Linked DNA regions of Macaca fascicularis. The main gene of each other region encodes a partner of the protein of the gene in region 3 in a complex. Links are inferred from orthologs where the notes say so. Each region holds a gene or a part of one and is shown on either strand. Other genes may lie near its edges. The genes, in order: IRF3, PPARA and CREBBP.

Region 1 (9,655 bases), on a different chromosome or scaffold from region 3:
AGGATGGGAAGAGGAGGTTTCCTGTTTGTACCCCCGAAAATATGGGTGAAGGACCTGTGCCGTGGCCCGTGAGAGGGAGGGTTCTGGGTGCGGAAACTCCAGGCCAGGTGGGTCCGGGGGAGGCCGGTCGCGCCCAGAAAATGCCCTATACGCGCAGGCCGGACCATGGGAACCCCAAAGCCACGGATCCTGCCCTGGCTGGTGTCGCAGCTGGACCTGGGGCAACTGGAGGGCGTGGCCTGGGTGAACGAGAGCCGCACGCGCTTCCGCATCCCTTGGAAGCACGGCCTACGGCAGGATGCACAGGAGGAGGATTTCAGAATCTTCCAGGTGCGTGAGACGACCGGGGACGCTGGAAACCCTGAGCTGCGCGCGGGGCAGAAAGGACTCCTAGCGGGCCGGGCTGAGACGGCGGAGGTATCGCCCGAGGGGCTGGCTCGTGCCAACGTTGGTGGGTGGGGCTAGAACGGGAGGGGCGGGGCTAGCCGGATCAGCTGACTGATGGTGGGACGCAAGCAGGGTTGGAGCTGCCCGGTTACGGCAATAAAACCGGGAAAGCCGGTTAGTACGCAAAGGAAATGAATCCTGGGGTTTTGGGGCTCTCTAGGGGCCGGGGCTCTTGGTTGTAGGATAGATACTGGGGGATGGTTTTTGAAACATCAGAGGTGAGACCTGGAGCCCCAAATCTGGGGTTCCTAACCACTGAATTAGTATATGCCAGAGGTGGTAAACAGTGTGAGGGGCGGGGTTATCACAGAGGGTGTCGCGGGGCAGGTGGTGCACGGGGTTAGACACCAAGTTGGACTTGGAAGCCTGGCTTAGAAAGAAGAGTTTTTTGGGCCGGGCGCCGTGGTTCACACCTGTAATCCCAGCACTTTGGGAGGCCGAGGCGGGCTATCACCTGAGGTCAGGAGTTTGACACCAGCCTGGCCAACATGGTGAAAATACAAAATCATTGGTGAAAATACAAAATTATCTACTAAAAATACAAAACTTAGCCAGGTGCGGTGGTGCCCGCCTGTAATGCCAGCTACTCAGGAGGCTGAGACAGGAGAATTGCTTGAACCAGGGAGGCGGAAGTTGCAGTGAGCTGAGATTGCGCCATTGCATTCCAGCCTGGGTGACAAGAGTGAAACTCCATCTCAAAAAGAAAAAAAGGCTTTTAAAAACTCGAGGTGGGGGATGGAGGTAGATAGGACGGGGGGATTTGGGGATGGAACTTGCAGACTTAGAACTTGCCAGGGAAAGAGGGTGGTGTTAGGATCCAGGAGACAGGGTTAGGGCCCCAGGAGCAGGATCTAAGTCGTCCTCCCCCACTATCCTGACACCACTGTTGCCCCAGGCCTGGGCCGAGGCCACTGGTGCGTACGTTCCCGGGAGGGATAAGCCAGACCTGCCAACCTGGAAGAGGAATTTCCGTTCTGCCCTCAACCGCAAAGATGGGTTGTGTTTAGCAGAGGACCGGAGCAAGGACCCTCACGACCCACATAAGATCTACGAGTTTGTGAACTCAGGTCTGCCAGATCGGGGTTCATGTGGGAGGCTGGGGTCCCAAGGGTTCCTGGCACCCCTACTCCCCTCACCACCTTTCTCAACAGGAGTTGGGGACTTTTCCCAGCCAGACTCCTCTCCGGACACCAATGGCGGAGGCAGTACTTCTGATACCCAGGTGAGAATGTGCCCAACCTTCATGCCCCTCAGTCTCTGTCGTGTCCCCATGGGCCTTGTCCTCTCCCTGTGGACCATCCCCCCGCTTCCCTGCCTCCAGCCTGCCCCTTACCTGAGCCAGTGGTGGCCCCGTCTGTTCCTGCTCCAGTCTCCTCAGGAGAAAATTCCGAGTTTTCACCCTGCATTCAAGGCCCTAGCACACCTTCCCAGGATTTCATGGACTTCGGCAGGGGGCTGTCAGCCTCTTGGGAACTGAAAACTCCCTCACCTTGATCCTGCTGAGGCCTGAGCTGGGGGAGCATCCCCTCTGAAATTCTACCCAGCCTGCCCCGCCCAGGTCTTACCTGCATAGAGCCAGATCCTTGGGTTGGAATGGTAGCACCTGGCGTTCATTAGAGTGTTTGGCTGTTGATGCCATGGCTGGCTCTGTCCCCATGCTGGAAGCCCCTTGAAGGCAGAGCTCAAGCCTCACCTCCCTGCATTGCTGAGAACAGACCTGGTCCATAGGAAGTCTCCAGAAAAGACTATGGAAATGCCTGATTCTCTTTCTTTGTTTCCCTCCAGGAAAACATTCTGGATGAGTTACTGGGTAACATGGTGTTGGCCCCACTGCCAGATCCAGGACCCCCAAGCCTGGCTGTAGCCCCTCAGCCCTTGCGGAGCCCCAGCTTGGACAGTCCCACTCCCTTCCCAAACCTGGAGCCCTCTGAGAACCCACTGAAGCGGCTGTTGGTGCCGGGGGAAGGTGAGTGTCAGCTGCAGGCTGGGAGGGCTGAGGTCTGGGCGGCAGCCCCTGATTCTCAATCTCTCTCCCCTTCACACGGCTGCTGCCACTGCTCAGAGTGGGAGTTCGAGGTGACAGCCTTCTACCGGGGCCGCCAAGTCTTCCAGCAGACCATCTCCTGCCCGGAGGGCCTGCGGCTGGTGGGGTCCGAAGTGGGAGACAGGACGCTGCCTGGATGGCCAATCACACTGCCAGACCCTGGCATGTCCCTGACAGACAGGGGAGTGATGAGCTACGTGAGGCACGTGCTGAGCTCCCTGGGTGGGGGACTGGCTCTGCGGCGGGCCGGGCAGCGGCTCTGGGCCCAGCGGCTGGGGCACTGCCACACATACTGGGCAGTGAGCGAGGAGCTGCTCAACAGCGGGCATGGGCCTGATGGCGAGGTCCCCAAGGACAAGGAAGGAGGCGTGTTCGACCTGGGGCCCTTCATTGTAGGTGAGTGAGATGGGGGCTTCGCCCTGCCCAGTAGAAAGCAGACTGCACAGTGGTTAAGAACTCAGGATTGGCCGGGCACGGTGGCTCACGCCTGTAGTCCCAGCACTTTGGGAGGCCGAGGCGGGCAGATGACGTGGTCTGGAGTTTGAGACCAGCCTGGCCAACATAGTGAAACCCCATCTCTACTAAAGATACAAACAAATAGTCGGGCATGGTGGCACACGCCTGTAATCCCAGCTACCCGGGAGGCTGAGGCAGGAGAATCACTTGAACCAGGGAGGGAGAGATTAAAGTGAGCCGAGATCGCACCACTACACTCTAGCCTGGTGACAGAGCCAGACTCTGTCTCAAACAACAACAACAAAAACTCAGGATTAGGACTGAATTCAGACCCTGGCTGCCCTTGGCCCACTGTATAACCCGAGGCAAAGGACTTTGCCCTGAGCCCGTGGAATCCGAGGACGGTCTCCTCTCTCTACCTGCCTGCCAGCACTGGGGTGAGACACAGGCCCAGTACACAGCATGCTCGGGGAATTAGCTGCCGCTGTCATCATTATCGTAACTAATGATGGTGGACAGACCAATAGCAGGAAAGCTATGTCCCTTAGGGTTTCGCTGTGCGGTGGCACTTTCTGCCATGATGGAAATGACAGTCACCTGCACTGTCCAGTGCAGCAGCCACTAGCCACAAGGGCCGAGCACTTGGGTGAGGCGAGTGCCACCAGGACACGATTCGTTTTTTTTGTTTGTTTGTTTTTTTTTTTTGAGACGGAGTCTCGCTGTGTCTCCCAGGCTGGAGTGCAGTGGTGTGATCTCAGCTCACTGCAAGCTCCGCCTCCCGGGTTCACGCCATTCTCCCGCCTCAGCCTCCCAAGTAGCTGAGACTACAGGCGCCCGCCACCACGCCCGGCTAGTTTTTTGTATTTTTAGTAGAGACGGGGTTTCACCGTGTTAGCCAGGATAGTCTTGATCTCCTGACCTCGTGATCCGCCCGTCTCAGCCTCCCAAAATGCTGGGATTACAGGCTTGAGCCACCGCGCCCGGCCTACGATTCGTTTTAATTGATTACAATTTAAACTGAAATGACCTCACATGACTAATGGCTGCAGTTGGACAGTGCGGCCTCAGAGGGGACTGAATGCCAACCAGCTTCTCCTCCAGATTCACTGGCATCCTTGGAAGCCTGGGCCCCCTACTCTGGGCCTGTTGTGAATGCTGAGGCTTGGGGGCTTGCGGGGGTGGGGGGCCTTCCAACAACCCCACCATGATGGGAGGGAGAGAGGGAAGGAGGAGGAAGTATACAAACAGAATCATGGGGACTTTCCCCAAACAAGCAGTCCTCTGGGCGAGGCAGCAGAGGGCCTTAGGTCAGGGGAAATGGTGGGGATTGCCATTCAAGTTTACGGGGAAGGGCGGGTAGAGGGTCCTCTTCTCATCACTGACTAGACTCCTGGGCCCCCAGATCTGATCACCTTCACAGAAGGAAGTGGACGCTCACCACGCTATGCCCTCTGGTTCTGTGTGGGGGAGTCATGGCCCCAGGACCAGCCATGGACCAAGAGGCTCGTGATGGTCAAGGTGCCTGCAGACCTGAGTCCCTGGGGCTGAGAGGGGTGGCCTTACAGAGGGAAGAGGTTGCTCCCAGGAACTCCAACTCCCAGAGGGCCCTCTAAAAAACTGCAACTTCCAAGATCTCTGCAATAACCAGTTTTTCATCCCCGGGAGCTCCTTCCCACGGCCTCACCTGCAGAACCTGCTTTGAACTCTCCAAACCAGTGGTCCCCAAGCTGTTCGGCACCAGGGACCAGTCTCACGAAAGATAATTTTTCCACAGACAGGGAGGGGGTGGTTTGGGGATGAAACTGCTCCACTGCAGATCATCAGGCATTAGATTCTCCTAAGGAGCAGCCTAGATCCCTCGCGTGTGCAGTTCACGATTAGTTCGTGCTCCTCTGAGAATCTAATGCTGCCGCTGATCTGACAGCAGGCAGAGCTCAGGCAGTAATATTCCCTCACCCGCTGCTCACATCCTGCTGGGCAACCTGATTCCTAACAGGCCGTGGGGGGTTGGGGACCTCTGCTCTAAACCATGTCGAAGCTGGTGGACTTCAAGTTTTAGCTGCCATTGTGAGGCCATGGCTGTGGCTCCCACGAGTTGAGATCACAGACTGCTCAGCCCTGACATCTGGGAATACTCTAGCCTCATATGCGTGTGTGTGTGTGTGTGTGTGTGTGTGTGTGTGTAGAGGGAAATCTACAACTCCCAGCAGCCCTGGGCCTATGGTTCATCCTGGGTTATAGCAGAGGCTGCAGGAAGGTGTGTGTGTTTGTGTGTGTGTGTTTCATCCTGGGTTACAGCAGAGGCTGCAGGAAGTTGTAGAGTGTGTGTGTGTGTGTGTGTGTGTGTGTGTGTGTGTGTGTGTGTGTTTCATCCTGGGTTACAGCGGGGGCTGCAGGGAGTTGTAGTTCTCCCAGCCCTGTGTGTGTGTGTATTTCATCCTGGGTTACAGCGGGGGCTGCAGGGACTTGTAGTTCTCCCAGCCGTGTGTGTGTGTGTGTGTGTGTGTTTCATCCTGGGTTACAGCGGGGGCTGCAGGGAGTTGTGTGTGTGTGTGTGTGATCCTGGGTTACAGCGGGGGCTGCAGGGAGTTGTAGTTCTCCCAGCCCTGTGTGTGTGTGTGTGTGTGTGTGTGTGTGTGTGTGTGTGTGTGTGTGTGTGTGTGTTTCATCCTGGGTTACAGCAGGGGCTGCAGGGACTTGTAGTTCTCCCAGCCGTGTGTGTGTGTGTGTGTGTGTGTGTGTGTGTGTGTGTGTGTGTGTTTCATCCTGGGTTACAGCAGGGGCTGCAGGGACTTGTAGTTCTCCCAGCCGTGTGTGTGTGTGTGTGTGTGTGTGTGTGTTTCATCCTGGGTTACAGCGGGGGCTGCAGGGACTTGTAGTTCTCCCAGCCCTGACTCCTACCTTGGTGGACACTGGCCGGGTGTTTTCCATGACTCCTGTCCCCACTTCCCCCGCAGGTTGTGCCCACGTGCCTCAGGGCCTTGGTAGAAATCGCCCGGGTAGGGGGTGCCTCCTCCCTGGAGAACACTGTGGACCTGCACATTTCCAACAGCCACCCACTGTCCCTCACCTCTGACCAGTACAAGGCCTACCTGCAGGACCTGGTGGAGGATATGGATTTCCAGGGTCCTGGGGAGACCTGAGCCCTCGCTCCTCATGGTGTGGCCTCTAACCTCCCCACCCCCCACCACCTCAACCAATAAACTGGTTCCTGCTATGATCACCTCTTGTGTGTGTCTGGTGTTGGGTGTCCTCTGACCCAAGCTGGTTGTTATTCCTGCTCAGGGTCTCAGTTTACCCATCTGTGCAGCTATGCACAACTCAGGTGCTCAATGCATGAGGACCAAGCACTGCAGGGGGCAGCTGACATTTCCTCACCTCTGCCCAGGGACCTGGTGGCTGATGGCTGCCCCCATTTTGTAGACCAAGACACAGGCTGGGAGAGGCACAAAGGTCACAGAGTAGGAAACACAAAGACTGGCCAGAACCCAGGTCCCTGCCTTGCCTATGAACAGTGTGGGCAAACGGCCCTTCTCCTTCCAGGCTCAGGCTCCCTCTACATGGGGCTGGAGGGGGCCTTGGTAAAAAGGCTCTGCGGCCACCCTAGAGCCTGCAAAGCCTGCCTGTCTGGTGACCCTGGGCACTGTCACCTCTCCTGGCTAGGCCTCAGTTCTGGGTGATGAAACTGGCAGAAGCCAGCGCAGCCCTGACTCACCCTTCGGCCCTTGCTGCTCTGTGCCTCAGTTTCCCTCTCGGGAGAGTGGATGAGATCACCCCAGCTTCACGGGGCTGCTGAAAAGAAAAGCCAACTCAATGGGGAACGCAGATCCTGCTCTGGGAGCAATTCCAAGGCAGGCACATGGCACGCAGGTGCCCTGAGCTGGGAGGATGCTGATCAGGTGGGGGCTGGCCCCGCCTCCCTGTGAGCAGCTGGCTCCCTGCCAGAGACTGTGCTAAGTGCTCCACCGGTGTCTTGTTCAATCCTCACAACACCACTATACAGATGAGAAAACTGAGGCTCAGGGGAGGCAGCTGCCCCAAGTCACAGTCTGGCTCCCTTTTCTCCCACCCTCAGCCTCCTAGGGGCCCCTCCTCAACCCTCTGGCAAATTTGTCTCTGAAAACAAAGGGTTAGAACCATGGGGCTCAGGGGTAATGTTTCATGAAATCTTTAATGAAATTGGGGAGAGGGGCACGAACAGAAGGGAGGGGCACTGGGGACAGGCTTGGGGGCAAGGGGGGTGGGCACGGGGCAGGGAAGGGCAGGGGGCTCTCCTCTTCCCTGCAGCAACCCTCCCCCAATCATCCCACTGATGGGGGAGGGAGGTGGGGAGGTGGAGCCATAAATATGTCCAGAATTTCAAAGAGGCGAGGGGCGAAGAGCTGGCCAGGGCTCTCAGAGAGGGGGCAGGGGCAGGCCCGGGCCACCCTTGTCCGGGGGCCCTGGCTCCTTGGGCGGCCGTGGGGGCCCTGGGGGGTCCCCTGGCTTGCGACCGTGCTTGCGGAAGTAGCGGTAGCGCTGGACGTAGGCCCGCACCAGGTTGCTCACCTTCACCGGGTTGATCTCCCCACTTTTGCTGTGGCAGATCTGGGGGGCCGGGGACAGCCGGAGTCACCACTAGGCTCCCGGAGTCCCATCCACCCGGGACTGCTGGGTGCAGCTTGGGACTGGGGTAGGAGCAGCTTCCCCAATAACCAGGCCAAAGTTCCTCTGTCCCCCTAGATGATGGGTGCCCCAGGGCCAGCGGAACAAGCCCAGGTGGCCTTGAGAAAATCCCATCACCCTCCCAGACTGACCTCCCCGTCTCCCATCCGCGTCCATCTGTCTGTACACATCTGGCCCTCCAGTTCGTCCTCTCCCCGGCCTGTGTCTGCCCCTCTCTCTGGGTGCCCACCTTGTGGACGGCCTTCCTCAGGATGTCCTTGTACTCCTCCTTGGTGATGTCCTTCTTCTGATAGTATGGCTTGATGGCCAGCTTCACCTCCTCCACCGCCCGCTCCTGTGTGTGCAGCTTCTTCAGATACTGGTGGGGTGGCGACAGCGGGGGAAGAGACAGCAAGGGCCAGTGAGTACCTGCAGAACCTCCACCTCCACTCGCCTCTGCTGCCAGCCTAGCCTCTCGGACAGTCTGGCTGCTCTCAGGCTGGAAGTCCTGCTGAGGGTCTGTCCCATGCACCCTCTGCTGCAGGTGCCTGGGACCAAAGGCCAGGCCTGTGCTCTGCATGTCACTGAACATCTCCTCTAGGCTGAACCCTGGGCTGCTCCAGGCCTGGCCAGGACCAGGAGACATGCGTTGCCTGCCCTCACAAAGTTCGGTCTGATGAGAAGACAGGCATTGGCCAAGCAATTGCAGCTGGTTTTGAATCAGACTCTACAGACAGGGCTGTAGAAAGCTGCACAGGGCTTTTCACCGTGGAAAGGGGGAGGACTCAGTTTAAAAGGTTTTTACAATACTGCTCTGGTCACCAAGGGGATGGAGGCGCACTGAGGAGTGGGGGTGGGGACTGACCTCAAGCCCATTGTATCGGAAGCCTGGTCTGCCACTCCCTGTCTCTGACCCCTGGGATGCTCAGCCAAACCTCCTTTTTGTGGCTTTTTCTTTGTTTTTGAGATAGGGTCTCTCCCTGTCACACAGGCTGTAGTGCAGTGACACAGTCACTGCTCACTGTACCCCTGGACTCCTGGGCTGAAGCAATCTTCCCACCTCAGCCTCCTGAGTAGCTGGGACTAGAGGTGCCACCACCACGCCCGACTAATTCTTGTACTTTTTCTGGCGACGGTCTTACTATGTTGCCCAAGCGGATCTTGAACTCCTGGGCTACAGCGATCCACCCGCCTCGGCCTTGCAAAGTGTTGGAATTACAGGCACGAGCCACCGCGCCTGGCCACCTTTGTGGCTTATTTATAAAATGCGGACAGCACCTATGGGGAGGACTACAGTGACACACATGAAGGACATGGCACAGGCCAGGTACAGAGCAAAGACTCAATCCAGGGGAGCTGTGCCTGTTCCAAGGGGGATGGCCGTGGGACGAAAAGGGAAGGACAGAACAGTGGGCAGGGCAAAGAGCCTCCGAGACAAGGCTCTTCCCGCCTGTGGCCAACAAGCGAGGAGATCCCCCAGCCACAGGCTCGGGGCAGCAGTTGCATCCCTGGCCTCAGGCGGAATCTTTGCAAAAGCAGACAGGAAACCTCTAGCCAGAGAGCCACATGGGACCAGAGAAGAACCGACCTTCTGCAGGCACAAGGGATAGTCCCTTGCCACCGCCCTTGGGGAAACTGCCCTCCCAAGTCAGGTGACTATCAAAGTAGGGGCAGGTAAACCTGAGTCCTGGAAATGGCAGGGCACAATGGCTAGCAGACTCCGGAAGCAACATCAGTGACACTGTCTGACGAGCTACTGAGCTGTTAGGGCAACTCTATGGCCAGGAGAGACACAGGCCGCCCTGGAGGGACTTCTCAGGCTTGCCTGGCCCCACAGGATGTGGGTCTCTAGAGAGACGCTGCTCCCAAACACCCATCTCGGATGTGGTAAAGCAAGGCAAAGGGCCGCTGTAGACCAGGGGGTCCTCACCGTCCGCGACCTGTAGCACAAGGCACAAGCTACAGACAAGTGATGGGCTAAGCTGCAGCCCCGCCTCCGCGGCTCACACGGGATGTTTAATGGGGTTTATACAGCTTTATCTGGCACTGTACACAGCTGTGTAA
Region 2 (10,889 bases), on a different chromosome or scaffold from region 3:
GCTAAATGTGGCTTTTAATGGATTATACAGACCACAAGGCTAGTATGCAGGAAATTCTCAAGCCTTACCTCTGTCAGAACTTTCAGATGAGTTAAAAATACGTTTTAGATTATAACTCTTAACAATGACCTAAAATACGCTACTCTTAGAAAAAGGATCCCTGCATCTAATTAGAAGAACAGGGTTCCCTCCTGCATGAGGACCAGGGGTCAGAAGAGAGCACAGAATAAGGGGTCCTGTGTTTAAGCTGCTGGGGGAGGCGAGAGGGGGCTGGGCAGCCCTCCTAGCCACTGCCGGGAAAGAACTTTCCAGAGCTAGAGCCACACACCCACCCACTCCCGCAGCTCACACTAATTCCATATTTCAGAACAAGCTCTAGAGTATATTTTATCCAGAGAAAAAAGCGTATCTTTGAACTCTTTTACTAGACAATGAACTATATTTTTCACCCTGGGGGTGGGGCTGGGGGAGCCTGCCTTCCTTAAAAAAGAAAGGCAAAAAAGAAAAACAAACAAAAGCAAAATAAATCTTTTCAAACCCATAAAGAAAAAGTTTTTCTGATAAATAGCACAAATAGTCAGTGAACAGTGAACCAGCATGGGGTGTGTCTGTGATGGGTGAAGAAAGGTCGCACATTGTGGGGTTAAGGGCTGGGTTCTGGGCTGGTGATCTCCGGCCAGTCAGGATGTCCTGGGGCCTGCCTGCTTTCCTCCTTCCTTAAATAAACATAGCAATGACCTCACAAGGCTGCTCTTGGGCTTAGGCAAGCCGAGGTGAGAGGTGTGTGGGCAGCCTGCAGTGCTCAGGAAGCAATGGCGGTCATTGTCAAAGCCATTAACCTGGGTTTGCTGCAAGCAACCTACCCAGGCCACTCAAGGCGCCACCTGATGCGGAGCCTTTTCCTTGCTCTCCTCCAGCCTCCCTGTCCCCTCCTGCACTGCTCTGGGGGCCATCATCTCCCTAAACCTTCACTCTCTCCACAGTGCTTATCCTCTGCTTAATGCGCCAGAAGAAAGGGAGTCAAAACTTGCACCATCTGTAAAGATCTGCCAGGGTCACTCCCAAAGCTGCTCACTCACAAAGGCCCCCCAGAGTCCTCAAGGGCTCACTAGCCTCTTGCAATTCCTGATTGACTAAGCTGAGAACACTGCCACCTTTTACAAGGCACGATCACGCCAGCATGCAGAGAACAGCCCTCTAGAGCCAGCTGAGAGGCAGGGTCCAGGCCCGGGCGCTGTGTCTTTCTGGCTGTATGAACAGTGGCAAGTTACTCAATTTGCCTTGTTTTTTTGTTTTTTTTTTTTTTGAGACGGCGTCTTGCTCTGTTGCCCAGGCATTACAGGTGTACACCACCACGCCTGGCTAATTTTTATATTTTCAGTAGAGATGGGGTTTCACCGTGTTGGCCAGACTGGTCTTTAACTCCTGACCTCAAGTGATCTGCCTGCCTCGGCCTCCCAAAGTGCTGGGATTACAGGTGTGAGCCACCACACCTGGACTTTTTTGTTTTTTTTTAAGACGGAGTCTCACTCTGTGGCCAAAGCTAGAATGCAGTGGTATGATCTCCGCTCACTGCAACCTCTGCCACCTGGGTTCAAACGATTCTCCTGCCTCAGCCTCCTGAGAAGAGTAGCTGGGATTACAGGTGCCCGCCACCACACCTGGGTAATTTTTTGTATTCTTTAGTAGAGACGGTGTTTCGCCATGTTGGTTAGACCGGTTTTGAACTCCTGACCTCAGGTGATCTGCCCGCCTCAGTCTCCCAAAGTGCTGGGATTACAGGCATGAGCCACCACGCCCAGCCAAGTTACTTAATTTCTTTGAGCTTATTTCTGTATAGTCACGCACTACACAGTGACATTTGGTCAACAACAGACCGTAAGTTCAACTGTGGTATCATGGTCCCATAAGATGATAATACTGTATTTTTGCTGTAACCTTTTCTATTATATGTTTTGGTATGTGTAGACACACAAATACTTACCACTGTGTCACAGGGGCCTATGCTATTCAGTACAGTAACACGCTGTACAGTTGTGTGGCCTGGGAACAACAGGCTGCACTGCAGAGCCTCGGTGTGCAGCAGGCTGTTCCATCTGGGTTTGTTTAAGTGTACTCTATGACTTTCACACAATGATGAAATCGCTAAGGATGCATTTCTCACAACCTGTCCCTGTCATTAAGCAACATGACTGTAATACCCATGTACACACCACCCAGGTTTATCAAATATACAACCTAGAGAGAATTGGAGTCCCCAAGGGAGCCCTCCCCAATTCTCCCTCCGTCTCGTTCAGGAGGCGACTGAGTCCTTAAAGCTTGCAATATATGTATGTCTGTTTCCAACAGTGATGTACTAGATTGTTTAGTGTTAAAGATTTTACGTGGGCCAGATGCGGTGGCTCAGGCCTGTAATTCCTGCACTTTGGGAGGCTGAGGCGGGCGGACCACCTGAGGTCAGGAGTTTGAGACCAGCCTGGCCAACATGGTGAAACCCCATCTCTACTAAAAATACAAAAATTAGCCAGGTGTGGTGACAGACACCTGTAATCCCAGCTACTAGGGAGGCTGAGGCAGAAGAACTGCTTGAACCCGGGAGATGGAGGTTGCGGGTGGGCTGAGATCATACCACTGCACTCCAGCCTGGGCAACAAGAGCAAAACTCTGTCTCAAAAAATAAAAAAAGTAAATAAAAGATTTTACATTAATTGGATCTTAAATATATCATTAAGCTTGTTTATTTTCATTTGATGTTTCTTAATTTTTTTGTTTGTTTGTTTTAAAGACAGGGTCTCACTGTCACCCAGGCTGGAGTGTAGTGGCAATCATAGCTCATGGCAGCCTCGAGCTCCTGGGCTCAAATGGTCCTCCTGCCTCAGCATCCTGAGTAGCTAGGACCACAGGCATGCGCCACCATGCCTGGCTAATTTTTTTTTTATTAAAAAATGTTTTTGTATAGATGGGGCCTCACCATGTTGGTTAGGCTGGTCTCGAACTCCTGACCTCAAGTGATCCACCTGCCTCAGCCTTCCAAAGTGCTGGGATTATAGGCGTGAGCCACCACGCCTGGCGTAGTCTGTTCTTTTAAATTGCTATGAAGTATGCCACTGTATAAACGCATCCCAATTTATCTGTTTCCCTTTGACGCACGTCCAGCTTGTTTCCCATCCTTCCCTCTTACCAACAGTGCCTCCATGCAGACCCTTGCACACGTCTCCTCTTAAAAATGTCTAGCTGTCCCCCGTGGGCTTGCTGGGGTTAGGGTCTGTGTACTTTAGCTGCTCCCCGTGACTGAATCTCAAGCATTGTTTGATGCATGCATGGTTTTCACAAGAGGTTGCACCGTGAGCCGTGACACGTGCCTTCCAAGGCCCAGTGGCACTGGAGGTGATGCCTTACCACCTCTGAAGGTTTCCTTGCAAAAAAGTGTGACTTATTTTCCAGCTAAAAAGAACAGCTTTCTTTAGGAAGAAACATTTCTAAATAAAACTTTCTAGGAAACAGCACACTTACCCGTGATGACCGAGCCATCTGAGCCAGGACAGCTTCCTAAATACTGGTATTCTGTAAAACCGAAGCTTCCAGAACTATCCTCGCCGATGGATTGCGAAATCTCTTGGATGTTTCCCATTTCTTGCAGGAATTCTTCAGATAACGGGCTCTCTAGATCGCCAGCCTCGAGTGGGGAGAGGGGGCAGAGCGGGCTTTCTGTGTCCACCATCGTGACTGGATGGTGTTGGTTGCGCAGCCGAGCTCCAAGCTACCGGGAGGAAAGAGGAACAATTGATAAGGTTGACGTATAACAACATTCACTTGTTTGTTTGATTGATTGATTGATTGATTGATTGATTGTTTGGCGGAGTCTCGCTCTGTCGCCCAGGCTGGAGTGCAGTGGTGCAATCTTGGCTCACTGCAAGCTCCACCTCCTGGGTTCATGCCATTCTCCTGCCTCAGCCTCCTGAGTGGCTGGGACTACAGGAGCCCGCCAGCACGCCTGGCTAATTTTTTTGTATTATTAGTAGAGATGGGCTTTCACCACATTGGCCAGGCTGGTCTCGAACTTCTGACGTCAGGTGATCCGCCTGCCTTGGCCTTCTAAAGTGCTTTGATTAGAGGTGTGAGCCACTGCGCCTGGCCACTTGCTTGTTTTGAAATGCAACATCATTTATCATCGAAGATACGCCTGAATTCATCATCTAAACAGGAACAGTGCTGAGCCTCTCCTCTGGGCTTGGCTATTGATCAGCACGCTGTGAAAGTGAAAACCTTTAAACAAAATGTTGTAGGAGCCGCAGACCGAGGGCCAGGACTCACTCAGCCATCACTGACTCAGCAGCTGTGCGGAGCTCCATACAATGTGTTTGAGGTGCTGGGGACACAGCGGAGACACAGATCCCTGGGCTGGGCACAGTGGCTCGCGCCTGTAATCCCAGCACTTTGGAAGGCCAAGGCGGGTGGATCACTTGAGGTCAGGAGTTTGAGACCAGCCTGGCCAACATGGCGAAAGCCCGTCTCTACTAAAAATACAAAAATTAGCTAGGTGTGGTGGCAGGCGCCTGTAATTCCAGCTACTCAGGAGGCTGAGGCAGGAGAATCGCTTGAACCTGGGAGGTGGAGGTTGCAGTGAGCCAAGATCGTGCCATCACACTCTAGCCTGGACAACAGAGTGAGACTGTGTCTCAAAAACAAACAAACCAATAAACAAAAAAAAAAAAAAAAAAAAAAAAAAAACAGGGCCGGGTGCGGTGGCTCATGCCTGTAATCCCAGCACTTTGGGAGGCCGAGGCAGGCGGATCACGAGGTCAGGAGTTGGAGAGCAGCCTGACCAACACAATGAAACCCCATCTCGCCAGGCACGGTGGCTCAAGCCTGTAATCCCAGCACTTTGGGAGGCCGACACGGGCGGATCACTAGGTCAGGAGATCGAGACCATCCTGGCTAACACGGTGAAACCCCGTCTCTACTAAAAAATACAAAAAAAACTAGCCGGGCGAGGTGGCGGGCGCCTGTAGTCCCAGCTACTCAGGAGGCTGAGACAGGAGAATGGCCCGAACCCGGAGGCGGAGCTTGCAGTGAGCTGAGATCCGGCCACTGCACTCCAGCCTGGGCGACAGAGCGAGACTCCGTCTCAAAAAAAAAAAAAAAAAAAGAAACCCCATCTCTACTAAAAATACAAAAATTAGCCCGACTTGGTGGCGGGTGCCTGTAATTCCAGCTACTCAGGAGGCTGAGGCAGGAGAATCCCTTGAACATGGGAGGTGGAGGTTGCGGTGAGCTGAGATTGCACCACTGCACTCCAGCCTGGGCGACAGAGTGAGACTCCACCTCAAAACGACGACGACAACAACAACAAACAAAAACCAGATCCCTGCTCTCAGGGAGCCTCCCTTGTAACTGGGACACAGACGGTGAACAAAGAAATGAATGCACATGTGGAGTGTCCGGGGTGAGGCCAGGGAAGTTCACACTGATTAGGGGGCAGGAGATAACCTCAGGGAATGAGGGGGCAAGCTGTGTAAATGTCTTGGGGGAGAATGTTCCAGCAAAGAGAACACCAAGTGCAAAGGCTCCAGCCAGGATTGAAACATGCTGGCACACTCCAGGAACAACAGGCAGCCAGTGTGGCTCAGGCTGCCCATGGGGCGCAGGGAGCAGGGCCAAGCCGGTGGCATGTGTGCTGGGTGTGACATCCACTTGGGTGTGCTCTCCCTGTAGCCATGAAGGCAGCTCATGCAGGGGGTCCTCGATTGTGATGGTATGGTCAAGAATACTTTGTGGAGTCCAAATAAATCTAACTGGGTGAGTCTCAGACAATAGTGGGCTGTTTCAACTAGCAAAGCGAACAGCATTTCCATAGGGGTACAGTGACAAAGCAGCGGTTCTTCCCAGGTTGGTCTGTATCATGCTCTCGCTGAAACATCTTAAACCACTTCCTGGGACCTCCAGATTGAAGCTCAGTCTCCTGAGCACACTGTTCCAGCCCTTCCATATCTGTCCCTACCTGATGGTGCACTTGTCACCATTCTTCTACCTCCTGGAAACCCAGCAGCACCGAGAATTGCTTTCAGGATTTCACGTCTGCACCTTTGCCCAGGTGCCACCTGCCTGAACCGCCCTGCCCACCACTGCCTTGTAGAGGCTCTGCCTTGGGTCCACCTCCCTGAACCCAGCTGAGTCATCAATCGCCCAACGAGGCTGACTAGGTGACCTTTAGCTTCCAGAACTATCTTCCCTTCTGAAAATGGTCACATGATGCCCACAGATCACATCACGGAGAGGCTCAGGGGGCATGTGCTGCCACCAGCCACTGTCAGGGCAGCCGTCATCACATGGTGATTACGGAACGCCAGACTCTCCAGATGGAGTGAAGAATACTGTCCCAAAGACAATATTAATCCATTAAATGCATTTGCGTAAAAATACGTTCACATCTGAGGTTTGCTTAATGTAAACAACAGCTTTTAGTGCGGTGAAGAAGGGATGCTTTGGCTTCCTCTACCAATGAAAAATAGATACCTTTCATCCATTTTTGTGAAATTCACATCTTATGTTTGGAATTCTGGCAATAAATCATCAGAGTTCACAGGGAAATCATCAAATAGCACACAGGGAAAAATAACAGAGAACTGTTAACCTTTCATAGGGTTTAGAAGACTTTCTTTCTCTATAACCTATTAACTTAAATCAGGTTGTGAATCTGTACAGATTTTCTGTCGTATTTTATTCTGCATTCTGTCTGAAGGGAGATTTTTTTTTCAAATGGCAAGAAACATAATGGGGTAAGCATTACTTAAAATGTTTTTCACTATGAACAAAAAGTTCAAAAGTTGCAGTCACTAACTGACTATTAACCATGAAGTTCATTCCAATAGAAAGAAAGTAGCTGGGGCTGGGCATGGTGGCTCATGCCTGTAATCCCAGCACTTTGGAAGGCTGAGGTGGGCAGATCACTTAAGGTCAGGAGTTTGAAACCAGCCTGGCCAACATGGTGAAACCCCATCTCTACTAAAAATACAAACAAATTAGCTGCGCTTGGTGGCAGGTGCCTGTAATCCCAGCTACTCTGGAGGCTGAGGCAGGAGAATCGCTTGAACCTGGGAGGTGGAGGTTGCAATGAGCTGAGATCACACTTTTGCACTCCAGCCTGGGTGACAGAGCAAGACTCTGTCTCAAAAAAAAAAAAAAAGAAAGTAGCTTGGCAGAGACTGTGTGGGCTGTGGCCACCTCCCTTTTTCCCCCATCGTGTTCTCAGCACTGGGGTGGAAAATGCGTGTGGCCTATCCCTTTTATCCCTGCTAATATTCTCTCTTCTGGCCAGGAGCATCAACCAATATAACAATGTTAGTTTCCTTGTCATTACATTCAGGGAGTTTCAAAGTTTCACAATTTCGTCATTTTTAGTTGCTTTTAAACAATACCTGGGATTAATTTAGAGAAACACTGGTCTTGCCATGAATGAAGAGCTAACCAAGGTACAATCTCTATATAGAGTGAAGCAACTCTGGCCAGAGGGACTGGCTTTGTACAGATCATTGAACAAATTGGCCCTTCCTTGCTCCCAACAAGAGCAGATAAGGAACAGTTGCGTTTGGATGCATTCCCCAGATAGATAGCAGAGGCCAAACTCCCCAGATAGATAGCAGAGGCCAAACGGGCACCTGCCCCACCCTGCACACCCTCCCAGCATGCTCCTCCGACACCACTGGAGCTTCTGATCAGGAGCAGAATATCCCGGGGAAGTCCCCACCCCTTCCTATTACCCACATGACAGGCCACTGCCCAGCTCATCTACAAGAGTGAACCAGGCTGGCCGGTTCCTGTGTCCTGTGCCCCAAATGCTCAAGGGGAGGCGGGGGCGGGGGATCAAGACATAACCAACCATCTCTTTTCTCAACAACTGCAAACCCTGGTCCAGGAGGCAAGACAATGCAAACAGCACTGAATTAGATCTTCAGTTTCATAGCACAGATAGAGTCTCACATAAGCTGAGGGGTGAGGGACAGGTGGAGTGGATAGGGTGTTGGGAAAAGGTAGGGCTTCTCTTCTCGTCCCAGCAATGATGGAAGGTTCTGCCTGATCCTCTCATGCCTTCCTTACCTGAGACCTTTTACATTTCTAAATTCATAATTTTCTTTCCCTTACAATTTATTTTTTATTTTAAAAACTATTTAAAATATTTGTGGTACATACTAGGTGTATATATGTATGGGGTACATGAGATGTTTTAGTATAGGCATGTAATGTGAACTAAGCACGTCATGGGGAATGGGGTAGCCGTGCCCTCAGGCATTGATCCTTTCAGTTACAAACAATCCAATTACACTTTTTATTTAAAAATATACAATTAAGTTATTATTGACTATAGTCACCTTATTATGCTATCAAATAGTGGCCAGGCACAGTGGCTCATGCCTGTAATCTGAACACTTTGGGAGGCCAAGGCAGGTGGATCACTTGAGGTCAGGAGTTCGAGACCAGTCTGGTCAACATGGTGAAACCCGGTCTCTACTAAAAATACAAACATTAGCCGGGTATGGTGGCGCGTGCCTATAATCCCAGCTATTCGAGAGGCTGAGGCAGGAGAATCACTTGAACCCAGGAGGCGGAGGTTGCAGTGAACCGAGATCATGCCACTGTGCTCCAACCTGGGCGACAGAGTGAGACTCTCTCTCAAAACAACAACAACAACAACAAAAACCTAGTGGGTCTTATTCATTCTTTCTAGTTTTTCATACCTATTACCTATTTTTCATACCATCTTCACTGCCCCCTAACCCCTCACCACCCTTTCCAGCCCCTGGACCGATTTGATTTTTAGAGCCCACAAATAAGTGAGAACATGTGAAGTTTGTCTTTCTGTGCCTGGCTTATTTCACTGAACATAATGATCTCCAGTTCCACCCATATTGTTGTAAATGACAGGATCTCACTCGTTTTTACGGCTGAATAGTACCACATTGTGTATATATATCACATTTTCTTTATCTATTTGTCTGGTGATGGACACTTAGGTTGCTTCCAAATCTTAGCTATTGTAAACAGTGTTGCAACAAACATAGGAGGGCAGATATCTTTTGGATATTTCCCTTCCAATTTAAATGTTAGAGCTGCATCTTGTATATATCATAAGCTCCAACTACTGAGATTCTATTTTTAGGTCTTACTAACTAAACATTTATCAATCAAAATATTCCTTTGAGAACTATGAAACAGAGTATATGAAAATTGTAGAACATTTAAAAATAGACAAATACAAGAAGAAGTAGACATCAAATTATATCACTGTTTTATGTTACCTGAGCACAGGACAGGTGCAAACACTGGAAGGATTCTAACAGTAACTCATAACTAACACCAAGGTATTTTCTGTATCACCAGCTCTTAGATGCATGACTGTTTGGAAGATTAGGCTAAAATGAGTTATAAATGGGAGAAGAAGCTCCTCTTTCATGAAACCCTTTCACCTCTAGATTCCCACAGCATCTTGGGCCCAATTCTGGTGTAGTCCTGATTATCTGTGCTGTTGAAACTTTTTACATGCCTGTCTCTCCTACTAGACTGTACGCTTTGTGAGGCAAGGGAATGTATTTGCCTAATCTTTGCATCCATACTTCTAGCACAATCCCTGCTATGTAGCAGGTGTTCAATATCTATTTCTCTCTTTTTTTGCTTTTGAGATGGAGTCTCGTTCTGTTGCCAGGCTGGAGTGCAGTGGCATGATCTCGGCTCACTCGGGTTCAAGTGATTCTGTTGCCATTTCATGGGTACAAGTGATTCTGCTGCCTCAGCCTCCTGAGTAGCTGGGACTACTGGCGCGTGCCACCACACCCGGCTAATTTTTTTTTTTTTGAGACGGGGTCTCACTCTGTCGCCCAGGCTGGAGTGCAGTGGCACGATCTTGGCTCACTGCAAGCTCTGCCTTTCCAGTTCACACCATTCTTCTGCCTCAGCCTCCTGAGTAGCTGGGACTACAGGCGTCCACCACCATGCCCAGCTAATTTTTTCTATTTTTTAGTAGAGATGGGGTTTCACCGTGTTAGCCAGGATGGTCTCAATCTCCTGATCTCATGATCCGCTCGCCTTGGCCTCCCAAAGTGCTGGGATTACAGACGTGAGCCACCATGCCCGGCCAATTTTTGTATTTTTAGTAGAGACAAGGTTTCACCGTGTTGGCCAGGATGGTCTCGATCTCTTGACTTCATGATCTGCCCACCTCAGCCTCCCAAAGTGCTGGGTTTACAGGCATGAGCCACCGCACCTGGCCTCAATATCTATTTCTAACGATCGGCACAGAAGGAGCTCTCGGGAATTACTTACTCCAGGAGTAACCTGGTGACAGTCCGTGAGAATTCACCTCGGCTCTGTCTCCGCAGCCACAGCCTTGTCACCCAGAGGGCAAAGCGGCACACATAGTGTGTCCAAAGACTACAAAAATGTAATGGATATCTAGAAGAGAACTCAAAGGGATTCTGCATGGGAAAGGTGATCCAATTTGCAGAGTGAATTATAATCATCATAGGGACAGGAAAACACAGCCAGCAAAAGGGGAAAAAAAAAACCCTCTGAATACAATAGGGAGGAACAGATTATCAGTTTTACTCCCTTCCTCAGGAGCAACAGTTGCAGAGCTTGGGAAGTGTCCTGTGCTAAAAGGAAGTGGTTCGTATTAAGAGTAATGTGGTTTTGCCACTTGCTTGGAATAAAAGAAGCCTGAAGGGACCCCTCCGCTGTGGGCTCCCGGAGGGCAGCTGCTGTGTCTCACCCACGTGTGCACCCCTCTATTGGACATGGAGTTCTTGGATCCAGAAGGTCCTTTGGAAATATTTTCTTGTTGTTGTTGTTTTTTAGATGCAGTCTCACTCTGTCACCCAGGCTGGAGTGCAGTGGCA
Region 3 (10,889 bases):
ATACTGAAATGATTCTATTAGCTTGACTTCACCTGGCAGTGGGGACAGGCCAAAAGATACGAAAGCCGAATCACCAAAAGTGAATTCACGGATCCTTCTCACTCCCTTTTTAAAATCCTCATGTCAGCCGGGCGCAGTGGCTCAAGCCTGTAATCCCAGCACTTTGGGAGGCCAAGACGGGTGGATCACGAGGTCAGGACATCGAGACCATCCTGGCTAACCCGGTGAAACCCCGTCTCTACTAAAAAATACAAAAAACTAGCCGGGCTAGGTGGGGGGGGCCTGTAGTTCCAGCTACTCGGGAGGCTGAGGCAGGAGAATGGCGTAAACCCGGGAGGTGGAGCTTGCAGTGAGCTGAGATCCGGCCACTGCAGTCTAGCCTGGGCGACAGAGCGAGACTCTGTCTCAACAACAACAACAACAAAATCCTTATGTCTCTCAGAGTCACATTAAACTCAGAATTTAAAATACACAAACAAAAAATAGGAAAACAAAAACCCCAAGATCAAAACACAAAAGCATACAAACTAAAAAATGTAAATCCATTACTACTTTTGCATATAGTTAACTCAGAGAGGATAAGAAAAAGTCCAAACAAGGTAAGGACTACAAGACAAAGGTGGGGAAAATAAAAGAGATGCTGATACACAGAAATGAAATGTGCATTGTGGAATTTTAATTTCCACAAAGGAAGACAGGAAAAAACAAAACAAAACAAAACACCTTAAAATGAGAATTTTATCTTTTAGGGAGCACGGTTCCCAGTGGGGCACAGTACCTGTGACACGCCTGTTTGGGCTGGCGGCTGCCCCATGCCCACACTCATCGCCCCGCTGGATGGCGGGAACTGGTTCTGTGGCAGAAACTGGCTCTGAGCAGGAGCCTGGGCCATCATGTTGTTGCTGTGTGCACCCATCATGTTTGGAGGCTGAGGCATTCGGGAAGGAGAAATGGCCATCTACAAGACAACAAGCACCACCAGAACTGTAGTTCCAAAGCTGACAGCCAGAGTTTTCAAGGTGAGCCAGAATGATCCAAGGCCTCACAACCCCAGAGGATGCCAAGCACAGGGCTCACATCCTGCCCTTCCTCATGGGAAGAGATCCCCACTTGCTAAGAACTCCCAGGCTCCTGGGCACTTTACACACTTTCTCAGGCAATCTCTCAAATGAGCCAGCTTCAAAATGTCCTCTGAATAGAAATCAATAGCAGACTATAATTTAAAATTTAACACATGCCTGCCTATGAGTTCTCTAAAGTGTTTAGAAAGCAGCCTCGGAAGAGCGAGCTCTCAGTCAATAGATGCTGACAATTCCCTGCTGGCCACATATCTGAGGCTGCCTTCTCCAGCCTTGGAACTGCCACATTCTCACAAAGTCACACATTCCTATGAATTTGTTATTCCAATAAAATAACTAACAGTCAAATAATTCTGTGTAGTAATGAAGATAATTTTTAAAGGAGAGATGAAAGAAATAAAGCAAAACCCAAATTCAAAGAAAGAACCACGGGATTCCCAAGTGACATGAATTCTGCTGCTTAATGTTCCATGTGAGAGGAGGGCTATCTGCAGCACAGCTAAAGAGAACACTTACCCCTGGCACTGAGCCCATGCTGTTCATCTGGACAGAGTGGTTCATTGGGGAGGCTGCACGAGGTCCCATGGGTGCTTGTGGCAACTGGACGTTCCCCAAGGACATGGGGTTAAACGAATTCATCCCTGTAAATGTACCCACAATGGTTCATTAGGAAAAGCACCCACAGGAAAACAGAATTACAACTTGCTAAATAAACTCTAAGTAAAATAAGATGGAACACACAGGCAACAGAAGACTGAAAAGCAATCACTCAATTAATCAATGAAGATGATGAAGGAACAGACTTCTCCACATCCAGAGAAAATGGCATCAATGTGGGGGTGGTGAGGGTGGCACGGTGAGGGGTTCGAGGGAAGGACAAGGACATGAAGGCATAAGGTTGGGTAACACAGGAACAAGTAAGTGAGACATTAAATGAGGCTGAGGTAGAGCTGAGCCAGAGGACAGAATACCGAACAAAGTATCATAGTAACAAAGAGGGTGAGGAGGTGCCCTGAAAGGACAGCACCCCCACAATCTACAGAAGAGATGTTTCCAGAGACCAGGGCAAGCTTCTGTGCACACCCATACCTAATGCCTCTGGAGCAGCTGGCGCCCATAACTGAGGCTTCCCAGCTCTCTGCTGGGTTTACATTCATTGTTAGAATCTGTGCTAAGACTCCAAACATTCTTTTAATTTTGCAAGCACTTTAAGCATTAAGAAGTGCCCAAGGGTCAGCCATCCTCAACCCCAGCCTCCTGTAGTTTACAGGAGCAACGCATCACTGAAAGACACTTCACAGCCAGTAAGTGTCTCCAGACTGTGGTGTCTAGTTCCTTCCAATTTATAACAATACTCTGTAAACTCTGAGTCTAAAGAAGCACCAGTTCAAATAAGTCTTAGGACCAACACTAAAATCTGAGAGAATTTCTGGAAGGTGTTGCCTTAGCGGTGCTGTAGTCATGAGAAGGCTCGAAGGATGACTCTCTCACGGAGCACTACCTTCAACGACTACCCAGAAATGGTACCTTCAAATAACTGAGTGCCAGTGCAGACCAGGAAGACTTTCCAGGGAGTCTGTAATGTAACCTTCCCCTCTCCTTGAGAATTTTTTTAAACAAAATGAAAAACAATTACTAAGGAACAGCATTTAAACAAATCTGTATTTACCCAGATGTGCTGGTAGGGAGGATGCTAAGTGCATAACCAGAAAACATCTATTTCAATATTCTGCTGGTAAACAGCATGCTCATCATACCCCACACCAGCAGCATCCTCCTATTTAGGCCCAAGTCCTGGACCAATCCCCAACACAGCATCCAGCCACTTTCCTAAGGCTCAATTTCTCTGACTCCTTGATTTCTTTCTCTCTTTTTTTTTTTTTTGAGATGGGGTTTCGCTCTTGTTGCTCCGGCTGGAGTGCAGTGGTGCAATCTCAACTCACTGCAGCCTCTGCCTTCTGGGTTCAAGTGACTGTCCTGCCTCAGCCTTCTGAGTAGCTGGGATTACAGATGTGCACCACCATGATCGGCTAATTTTTGTATTTTTAATAGAGATGGGGTTTCACCATGTTGGCCAGGCTGGTCTCGAACTCCTGACCTCAAGTGATCCTCCTGCTTCGACCTCCCAAAGTGCTGGGATTACAGGTGTGAGCCACTGTGCCTAGCCTGACTCCTTGATTTCTTTCAACCCTCAAATCTAGTCCATCAAAACAAGTCCCTGATAAGTATTTTTCCATAATATCAGCTTATCATGTCTTTTCCAGGATGCAATATGAATACAACTTTTTTTTTTTTTTGAGACGGAGTCTCGCTCTGTTGCCCAGGCTGAAGTGCAGTGGCGCGATCTCAGCTCACTGCAAGCTCCGCCCCCCAGGTTCACGCCATTCTCCTGCCTCAGCCTCCCAAGTAGCTGGGACTACAGGCGCCCGCCACCACACCTGGCTAATTTTTTTTTGTATTTTTAGTACAGACGGGGTTTCACTGTGTTAGCCAGGGTGGTCTCGATCTCCTGACCTCGTGATCTGCCTGTTTCGGCCTCCTAAAGTGCTGGGATTACAGGCGTGAGCCACCACGCCTGGCCCGAATACAACTTTTAAAATGATCTCTTCTACCTTCCCTCCCAAACTACTCTGCAAACCACAATAAAGCCTCTTTCCTCAGAGTCTTCTGGATAATGTCACCACCTTGTTTCACAATCTGGAAAAATGTCCTCCTGCTTGGGTCTCAATAGTCAAGAGCTACAGGGTTTTCAAATGCTCCCTGCCCCGAAATAAAAATCACTGCTTCAATCAACCAAAAACCATAGGCTCTCTACTTAAGAAACTTTCAAGGTTGTTGAGACAGCTGCTGCCACCCCAACCTGGCACAGGACCTGTGTGTACACACTCTCCAGAAGTTGACATCCAGCCAGCTGGGCTTAACCCCTAGGGCCAGGAGCAGCCCGTGCCGTCCCCATGTCAGCCTGTGCAAGTGCTCAGCAGTCTAGGAGTGTCTTGCATGCCTCTCCTTCTCAGCACTGAGAAGCACTCCCTCCCCACATCTAGAGTGCTTCTTTCTCAGACTCTTCCTAAGACTAATGTACCATGCCCCTTCACCATCCATTAAAAAAATAAAAAGCTGGGCTGGGCGCAGTGGCTCACAACTGCAATCCCAGCACTTTGGGAGGCTGAGGCAGGCAGATCACAAGGTCAGGAGATCGAGACCATCCTGGCTAACACAGTGAAACCCCGTCTCTACTAAAAATACAAAAAATTAGCCGGACGTGGTAGTGGGCACCTATAGTTGTAGCTACTTGGGAGGCTGAGGCAGGAAAATAGCGTGAACCCAGGAGGCAGAGCTTGCAGTGAGCCGAGATTGCACCACTGCACTCCAGCCTGGGCAACAGAGTGAGACTCTGTCTCAAAACAAATAAGTAAAATAAAATAAAATAAAATAAAATTTAAAAAAAGCTAAGGCTGGGTGCAGGGGCTCTCATGCCTGTAATCCCAGCACTTTGGGAGGCTGAGGCAGGTGGATCACAAGGTCAGGAGATCAAGACCATCCTGTCTAACACAGTGAAACCCCATCTCTATTAAAAATACAAAAAATTAGCCGGGCATGGTGGCCGGTGCCTGTAGTCCCAGCTGCTGGGGAGGCTAAGGCAGGAGAATGGTGTGAACCCAGGAGGCAGGGCTTGCAGTGATCCAAGATCACGTCACTGCACTCCAGCCTGGGCCACAGAGCGAGACTCCACCTCAAAAAAATAAAAATAAAAATAAAATAAAATAAATAGCTAAAAACTGCTTCTTATTTCTTGAAAGATCTTTCCTATAATCTCCAAATTTCATACTATAAACAGATCCATACTACCTGTAGAACAATTCTGCTCATCAGCAAAAAGGAATGGAAAGAAGAAAGGACTAGAAAGAAATACACAGGGGGAGAGGAAAAAAACAGTGAAAGTTATGGCTGTTGAATGTTAAACTAAAATATGATTCACAGCAAATAGTTCAATACCTTGAGAAACTTGCATGCGATTCACTGGCAGGGACAGAGGTCCATCTATGGCGGCAAAACAAAAACAAAAACAAAACCACCCTAGTTATTTAATATAATCCTTGATTCAGGAATAGGAAATGTCTTATTAGGACTTCAAACTTAAAAGGGAAAACAGCCAATAGGTCCAAAGGCACGTGTGTTCCAATGCCAGCGGACCCTGTAAAGGGCCTTCCCAAGAGAGAAACTCAGTGTCCCAACACAGCCTGAGGCAGGTGGTCAGGGCCACTGCCACATCAACAGTTTCCGCAGTGCACGCATCAGAGATTCTAATTCTCTGTTCTTAGAAATACACCCCAAACACGAAGGAAAACCAAGGAAACAGGCTAAGGGATGGCAGAAGGAAATAAAATGCTTACTTGGAGGTCTCACAGGTTGTGCCTGTGGAATCACAGGGGGCTGAGTCCCCGGGGCTGGTAAGGCTGGCTGGTTCCCCAAGATGCCTTGTTTATGTAAACGCGACCTCCGTTTTTCTTCTAGTTCTTTTTGTATCTTGTAGATTTTCTCTGCTAATAAGTGATAATATTCATCCTAAAAAGCAACAATATTCAATATGAAACAGTTAAAACTGTAAAAAGCAACTGAATGATCTGTGTTGTAGGTTCCAACTAATGAACTTCTTCATTGAGTACACTGGCAAAAGTAAGTATGCAAATAAATACTTGATGCACCAGGAGCTTTATAGGACATATCAAATAATAGGTACTAAATACACGGCCCACTTCATACCAATGAACTTTTGAATATTCACTGATGCTAGCAATATTACACCCACCACCTACTGTGAAAAATATATCCCATGGACATAATGTAAATTTATATATTCCATGTACCAATGTAACTAACCAAGAGAGTTCTGCAGGAAATTTGTGTCTTATCTGGGAAGTCTCTTTGGCCAGTGGCCTCAAGGTGAGGAGTTTCTCCCAACTACACAGATTCCACAATTTCTAGATAACAAAGCAGACAAATGCAGTGCTGTCTACTACAGATGCTGTAGAGGCCAGAGCACGATAAGCAGCAACCTACCCTGCTGTTGGCAGACTCGTACATGTCCCCTTCCACTTTCTTAGCATAGGCTACCAGGTTTTCCATGCGGCGATCCTTTAGAGCTGCGGGATCAGGTGTTGGGAAGATGGCTTGGACGCTGAAAGGATAACACATCAAACTACTTTTTTTTCCTTTCTTCTTTTTTTAAAGACATGGGGTTTTGGCCAGGCACGCTGGCTCATGCTTGTAATCCCAGCCCTTTGGGAGGCTGAGGCAGGAGAATCACCTGAGGTCAGGAGTTTGAGATCAGCCTGGCTAACATGGTGAAATCTTGTCTCTACTAAAAATACAAAAATTAGCTGGGCCTCGTGGTGGGTGCCTGTAATCTCAGCTATTCGGGAGGCTGAGGCAAGAGAATTGCTTGAACCCGGGAGGCAGATGTTGCAGTGAGCTGAGTGCCATTGCACTCCAGCCTGGGCAATAGATAGAGCGAGACTCCGTCTCAAAAAAAAAAAAAAAAAAAAAGACACGGGGTCTCGCTCTGTCACCCAACCTGGAGTACAGTGGCATGATCATAGCTCACTGCAACCTTGAACTCCTGGGCTCAAGTGATCTTCCCACCTCAGCCTCTCAATTAAGGAGGGAGGTACAGGTGCACACTACCATGCCTGGTTAATTTTTAAATTTTCTGTACAGATGGAGTTTTGTTATGTTGCCCCAGCTGGCCTGAACTCCTGGGCTCAAGCAATCCTCCCGCCTCAGCCTCCCAAAGCACTGGGATTACAGGTGGGGGCTGCTGCACCTGGCCTGAAGCTACTCCCAATGCTGTCAAATGAGCACTACAAAATCAGGATCATGTATCTCTGGTGGCAATACACTGTGGAGAGAAATGCCAAGCCTCTCTTGCCCAGCATATCAATATATGAATGAAGTAACTCCCTGGAGACAATCCTGACTTACCAACTTATCTACACATCAAACACATCAATATTTTGCTATTAACAAGTATGTGCTGGGTCATTTCCAGAATAACACGATTTTTAAATCCCTGATTTTTAAACTACTTACTACTAAAAAAATTTGATCAAAATAAGGAATGGAAAAAACTCAGGGAATATAAGTCTAGTTCATTTAAAATAACTAGCTCAACAAAGTTAGGCTTCGTGTGGTGGCTCATGCCACCCAGCACTTTGGGAGGCCGAGGCAAGAGGATTACTTGAGGCCAGGAGTTTGAGACCAGCCTGGACAACATGGCAAGACTCTGTCTCTAAGAAAGAAAGAAAGAAAAAAAAAAAAAAAAAAAAAAAAGGCCGGGCGCAGTGGCTCATAATCCCAGCACTTTGGGAGGCTAAGGTGGGCAGATCACTTGAGGTCAGGAGTTTGAGCCCAGCCTGGCCAACATGGTGAAACCCTGTCTCTACTAAAAATACAAAAACTAGCTAGGGGTGATAGCACCCACTTGTAATCCCAGCTACTCGGGAGGCTGAGGCAGGAGAATCGCTTGAACCTGGGAGGCAGAGGTTGCAGTGAGCTAAGATTGCGCCCTGCACTCCAGTCTAGGGTACAGAGCGAGACTCCGTCTTCAAAAAAACCAAAAAGTTAACTTAACTTTGTTATGTTAACTAACTGTAAGGTGATAATGACATGCCATCTATAAACTCATCCAATTCTGAGGAGTCTCCACAACTAGAATCTGGAACTACAAAATAAGGTGAGGTTCTTGAGCTAACCCCAGCCGCCTCATGCAGCATTAAGGCCAGGCTGCACTGAGGGTCTTTGCCTCCGTGACAGGGGCTGTAAGTCAGTGCCCCTCGGCAGTATAGAGCCACCAATGCTCTCTTTGTCACCCCCGCTCACCGAGGACATGAAGTGCGGGAATCTCTGGCCTGCCTAGGGCTGCCAGAGTTCTACCAGCAGTGAGAGTGGCTCCCTAAATAAGCACGTGACTTGTATAGGATCCTAGGGTACTGTCATCCGGTAGTCAATGGGCAACACAGGAACAAAATCATCTATGAAACTGTAAAACTGTTACGTACAGTTTATGCACTAGATGGCTCCGCAGGTCCTGAGTGACATGTTCGTGCCAGCCTTTCCTTACACCAGTGCTGGAAGGAGGAGCTGCTGTTGGTATAGTGCTGAGGGTTCCAATGTTACCAGAGTTGGAGCCATCGTTCATCAGTGGGCTATGGAGGAAATAAGGACACTTCATCCATCTACTGAAGCGACTCAAACATACTTTGTCTAATAAGGTTCTTCTACCACCACATGTGACTTCTAAAAGTTTAAGTCAGGAGAGCCAAGTAATGTATATAAATAAAACTTAAACTATGTTTAATCTATTATCTGCTCTACACTTACAATTAAAGAAAAAAAGGAAAACAGCATTCACCCCTCACCACCCCATTTAAACTATTTTCTCTGCCACACATTTAGAAAGAATCAGTTTTGTGTGGTTCTCAGTCCACGTTCTTGTTGGACTGTCACTCAGAACTGAAACAGGGTCTTACTTTGTGGCCCCCAAGGAAGTCGGAAGAGCTGATTCTGAAATCAAGTTTGGGGGCTGCTGATCTGTTGTTATTCCTCCTGCTGGAATGTTCATTGGATTATTTCCTTTAAAGACAGAAAGAAATCAATCAACTCTTAAATTTTAATATATACTTCAAAGTTTTGATGACAGATAACCAACATGTCATCACATAAACAATTGGTGATTATTTAAATAAGTGATTCTGGTCAGTTATAATAAGCACTGAGGCAGGAACCCCGAGTGTCATATTTTCAATAATGGTAATCAACGTGCACAAATAATCAGTAGACACCTCCCCACTCTACTTGGTAACCAAAGTAAGGTGTGTTTATGGAGATTAGCTGGTATCTAAGTGAAAAAGTTATAAATGATCCATATGCAGCCTCTGACTTTCATTCTGCTTCATTAGTATCACTTCTGAGTGACTCAGCTGCACTGACATATACCTCTGTGTCTCTACCCCCAATATCAGAAAATAAAATCATAGAAATTAAGCTCAGGAAAAAAATACAGAGGTCAATTTGTCTACAATCTTCATATTAAAGTAAAGGAAGGCCGAGATTAATAAAGGTTAAGTTTGTCCTAAATTATACCATCAACAGGAGAGGAGTTAGATTAAGACTTGGGTCTCAGGACTCTAACCCAGTCTCCTGGCCACTATTAGTTAGACATTCACTGGGGCAGTTGTTTTCCAAAAAGCAACAAATAAGATGACTTTAGCTGGGCATATTTTAAGGAATAATTGTTAACCGTAAAATACTTTATTAGGAAAAGAACAAAACTAGCACAGCCAGCCAGCCAGTCTGGACTTCACAGACATCACTGCTTAGCTTAAGCCTAGATGTAAAGGGACTGTGTCCACTTAAAGAAAAATATTAAGGAAACCATATGCAGAAATGGCAAAAATCATGGGTATGTGTGAGCAAATGACCAAAGGTGGGCAAATAATGGGCTGGGGTGACAAAAGAAATGCTGACATGTCCAGCAGCCTGGGAAAAGAGTTTCCAGGGCTCCTGTCATTAACCTGCCGAAGTCCAGGCTGGTCACTTCCAACTGTGGGGTAGACCCTAACCAAGATGTGTGAGGAAGTGGCAAACGCAAGTTCTCCATCAAATAAATGACAACAGTCAGCACGAGGGGTCCAGTCAGCATCCTGACTTGTGAGATCTGCATTCTGAGCCACATGGCACATTCTTTATGAAAACTGTCCAGAGAGAAGTGGCACAGCAAGCAACAAAAACATTGCTTCATTTGCAAATGCTGCTCTTTTTATAAGCATATAACATTTTCCTTGCATTAGACACTTCAGCTTTTTACTGGGAGATTTTTATTTCAACCACTGTAGTAAAAAACACAAAACAAACTGAAAACTGCCTTGGGTTCCATCACTCCATTCCCTTTGCTATATTTGGACAAGTAAGAATGAAGTTGAGAGTTTCTTCACCTACCCAGGGGGTTGAGAGTCCTCATCTGCTGGTGGGTTTGAGGCTGTGCTGGTTGCTGGCCAGGAACCTGAGGCTGCAGCTGCGTCTGGGGCTGGTTCATGTAGGGGAGTCCGAGAGCAGCATAGGCTCGCTGCATGGAGCTGGGGTCTATGGGATTTGGGTTACTTAAAGAAGTGGCATTCTGTTGCCCTGTGCCAACAGAACCAATTGTGTTTTGAATTCCACTAGCTGGAGACCCCAGGATGGCTATAACGACAAACAGACAGACAAACGAGAAAGGTAAGTAAAAGGGAGAAGCCCACAAATGATTTAAAAAACTACTGAGAAGCAAATACATTTCATCAAAATACTACACATGAATATCATAAAGCAGTAAAACAAGGCTAGGGAGAAAGGAACTGTGCTGAAGGACTCATGTATTCTGCCTAGCAGTAAGTGAGGAACAAAAAGTGAAAGAAAAGTGAAGTTTCTATCTTAGCAGGCAACAGATCATAAAATTTCACAGATAACACCTGAAAAAAATCAGTATGTTTTAAAACCTAGAGACTCCTCAAGAGGTCAGTTCCAGGGAGTGGCAAATGTATGACAAGGGAAACGTCTGATTCTCTGGTGGGCAGCAGACACCTTGAGATGAACAGAGGAGCACCCTCCTGCTGTTAACCCCAACCCTGTCCTTCACTGCTCACCTGCACAGGTACAGAGGGCTTAAGAGAAGGAGCAGAGATGATACCTCGTTGGTCAGTTTTGATTAATAAATCTATGATGTGCTCTTCTAAATCACATAATTGCAAGTCCTTGAAACTTACACAAGCAATG

The links.
Region 1: the proteins of CREBBP (region 3) and IRF3 are in contact, whole or in part, in a crystal structure (PDB 5JEM), measured with the Homo sapiens proteins. The link is inferred for Macaca fascicularis from reciprocal best matches to the Homo sapiens genes CREBBP and IRF3. Residues at the interface, in NP_004371.2 of Homo sapiens: Leu2070, Thr2073, Leu2074, Lys2075, Ser2076, Ser2079, Gln2081, Gln2082, Gln2084, Gln2085, Val2086, Asn2088, Ile2089, Leu2090, Asn2093, Gln2095, Leu2096, Ala2099, Phe2100, Gln2103; in NP_001562.1 of Homo sapiens: Pro198, Gly199, Glu200, Glu201, Trp202, Glu203, Ser221, Leu322, Ile326, Leu329, Ile330, Thr333, Thr370, Cys371, Leu372, Ala374, Leu375, Glu377, Met378, Ala379, Val381, Gly382, Gly383, Ala384.
Region 2: the proteins of CREBBP (region 3) and PPARA are in contact, whole or in part, in a crystal structure (PDB 9IWL), measured with the Homo sapiens proteins. The link is inferred for Macaca fascicularis from reciprocal best matches to the Homo sapiens genes CREBBP and PPARA. Residues at the interface, in NP_004371.2 of Homo sapiens: Asp62, Ala63, Ala64, Lys66, His67, Lys68, Gln69, Leu70, Ser71, Leu73, Leu74, Arg75; in NP_001001928.1 of Homo sapiens: Val284, Thr285, Thr288, Glu289, Lys292, Phe297, Leu302, Asn303, Gln305, Val306, Thr307, Leu309, Lys310, His457, Pro458, Leu459, Glu462, Ile463.

Annotation. Positions count from the first base shown.
Region 1 is NC_088393.1:57,628,991-57,638,645, reverse strand, and holds the end of IRF3 (interferon regulatory factor 3), read left to right. Parts: intron 1-157; 5' UTR 158-165; coding exon 166-417; exon of another isoform or gene 418-501; coding exon of another isoform or gene 502-561; intron 562-1,342; coding exon 1,343-1,514; intron 1,515-1,598; coding exon 1,599-1,669; intron 1,670-2,232; coding exon 2,233-2,413; intron 2,414-2,509; coding exon 2,510-2,887; intron 2,888-4,349; coding exon 4,350-4,465; intron 4,466-5,904; coding exon 5,905-6,090; 3' UTR 6,091-6,170; downstream 6,171-9,655. Other genes in the region: SCAF1 (splicing factor, arginine/serine-rich 19), read right to left, coding at 7,343-7,534, 7,842-7,970.
Region 2 is NC_088384.1:5,389,324-5,400,212, forward strand, and holds part of PPARA (peroxisome proliferator-activated receptor alpha), read right to left. Parts: intron 10,447-10,889; exon of another isoform or gene 10,318-10,446; intron 3,761-10,317; coding exon 3,514-3,760; intron 1-3,513. UniProt on the Homo sapiens protein: Ligand-activated transcription factor. Key regulator of lipid metabolism. Activated by the endogenous ligand 1-palmitoyl-2-oleoyl-sn-glycerol-3-phosphocholine (16:0/18:1-GPC). Activated by oleylethanolamide, a naturally occurring lipid that regulates satiety.
Region 3 is NC_088394.1:4,554,601-4,565,489, forward strand, and holds part of CREBBP (CREB-binding protein), read right to left. Parts: intron 10,320-10,889; coding exon 10,077-10,319; intron 8,712-10,076; coding exon 8,609-8,711; intron 8,285-8,608; coding exon 8,138-8,284; intron 6,259-8,137; coding exon 6,141-6,258; intron 5,646-6,140; coding exon 5,474-5,645; intron 5,121-5,473; coding exon 5,076-5,120; intron 1,721-5,075; coding exon 1,596-1,720; intron 959-1,595; coding exon 779-958; intron 1-778. UniProt on the Homo sapiens protein: Acetylates histones, giving a specific tag for transcriptional activation. Mediates acetylation of histone H3 at 'Lys-18' and 'Lys-27' (H3K18ac and H3K27ac, respectively).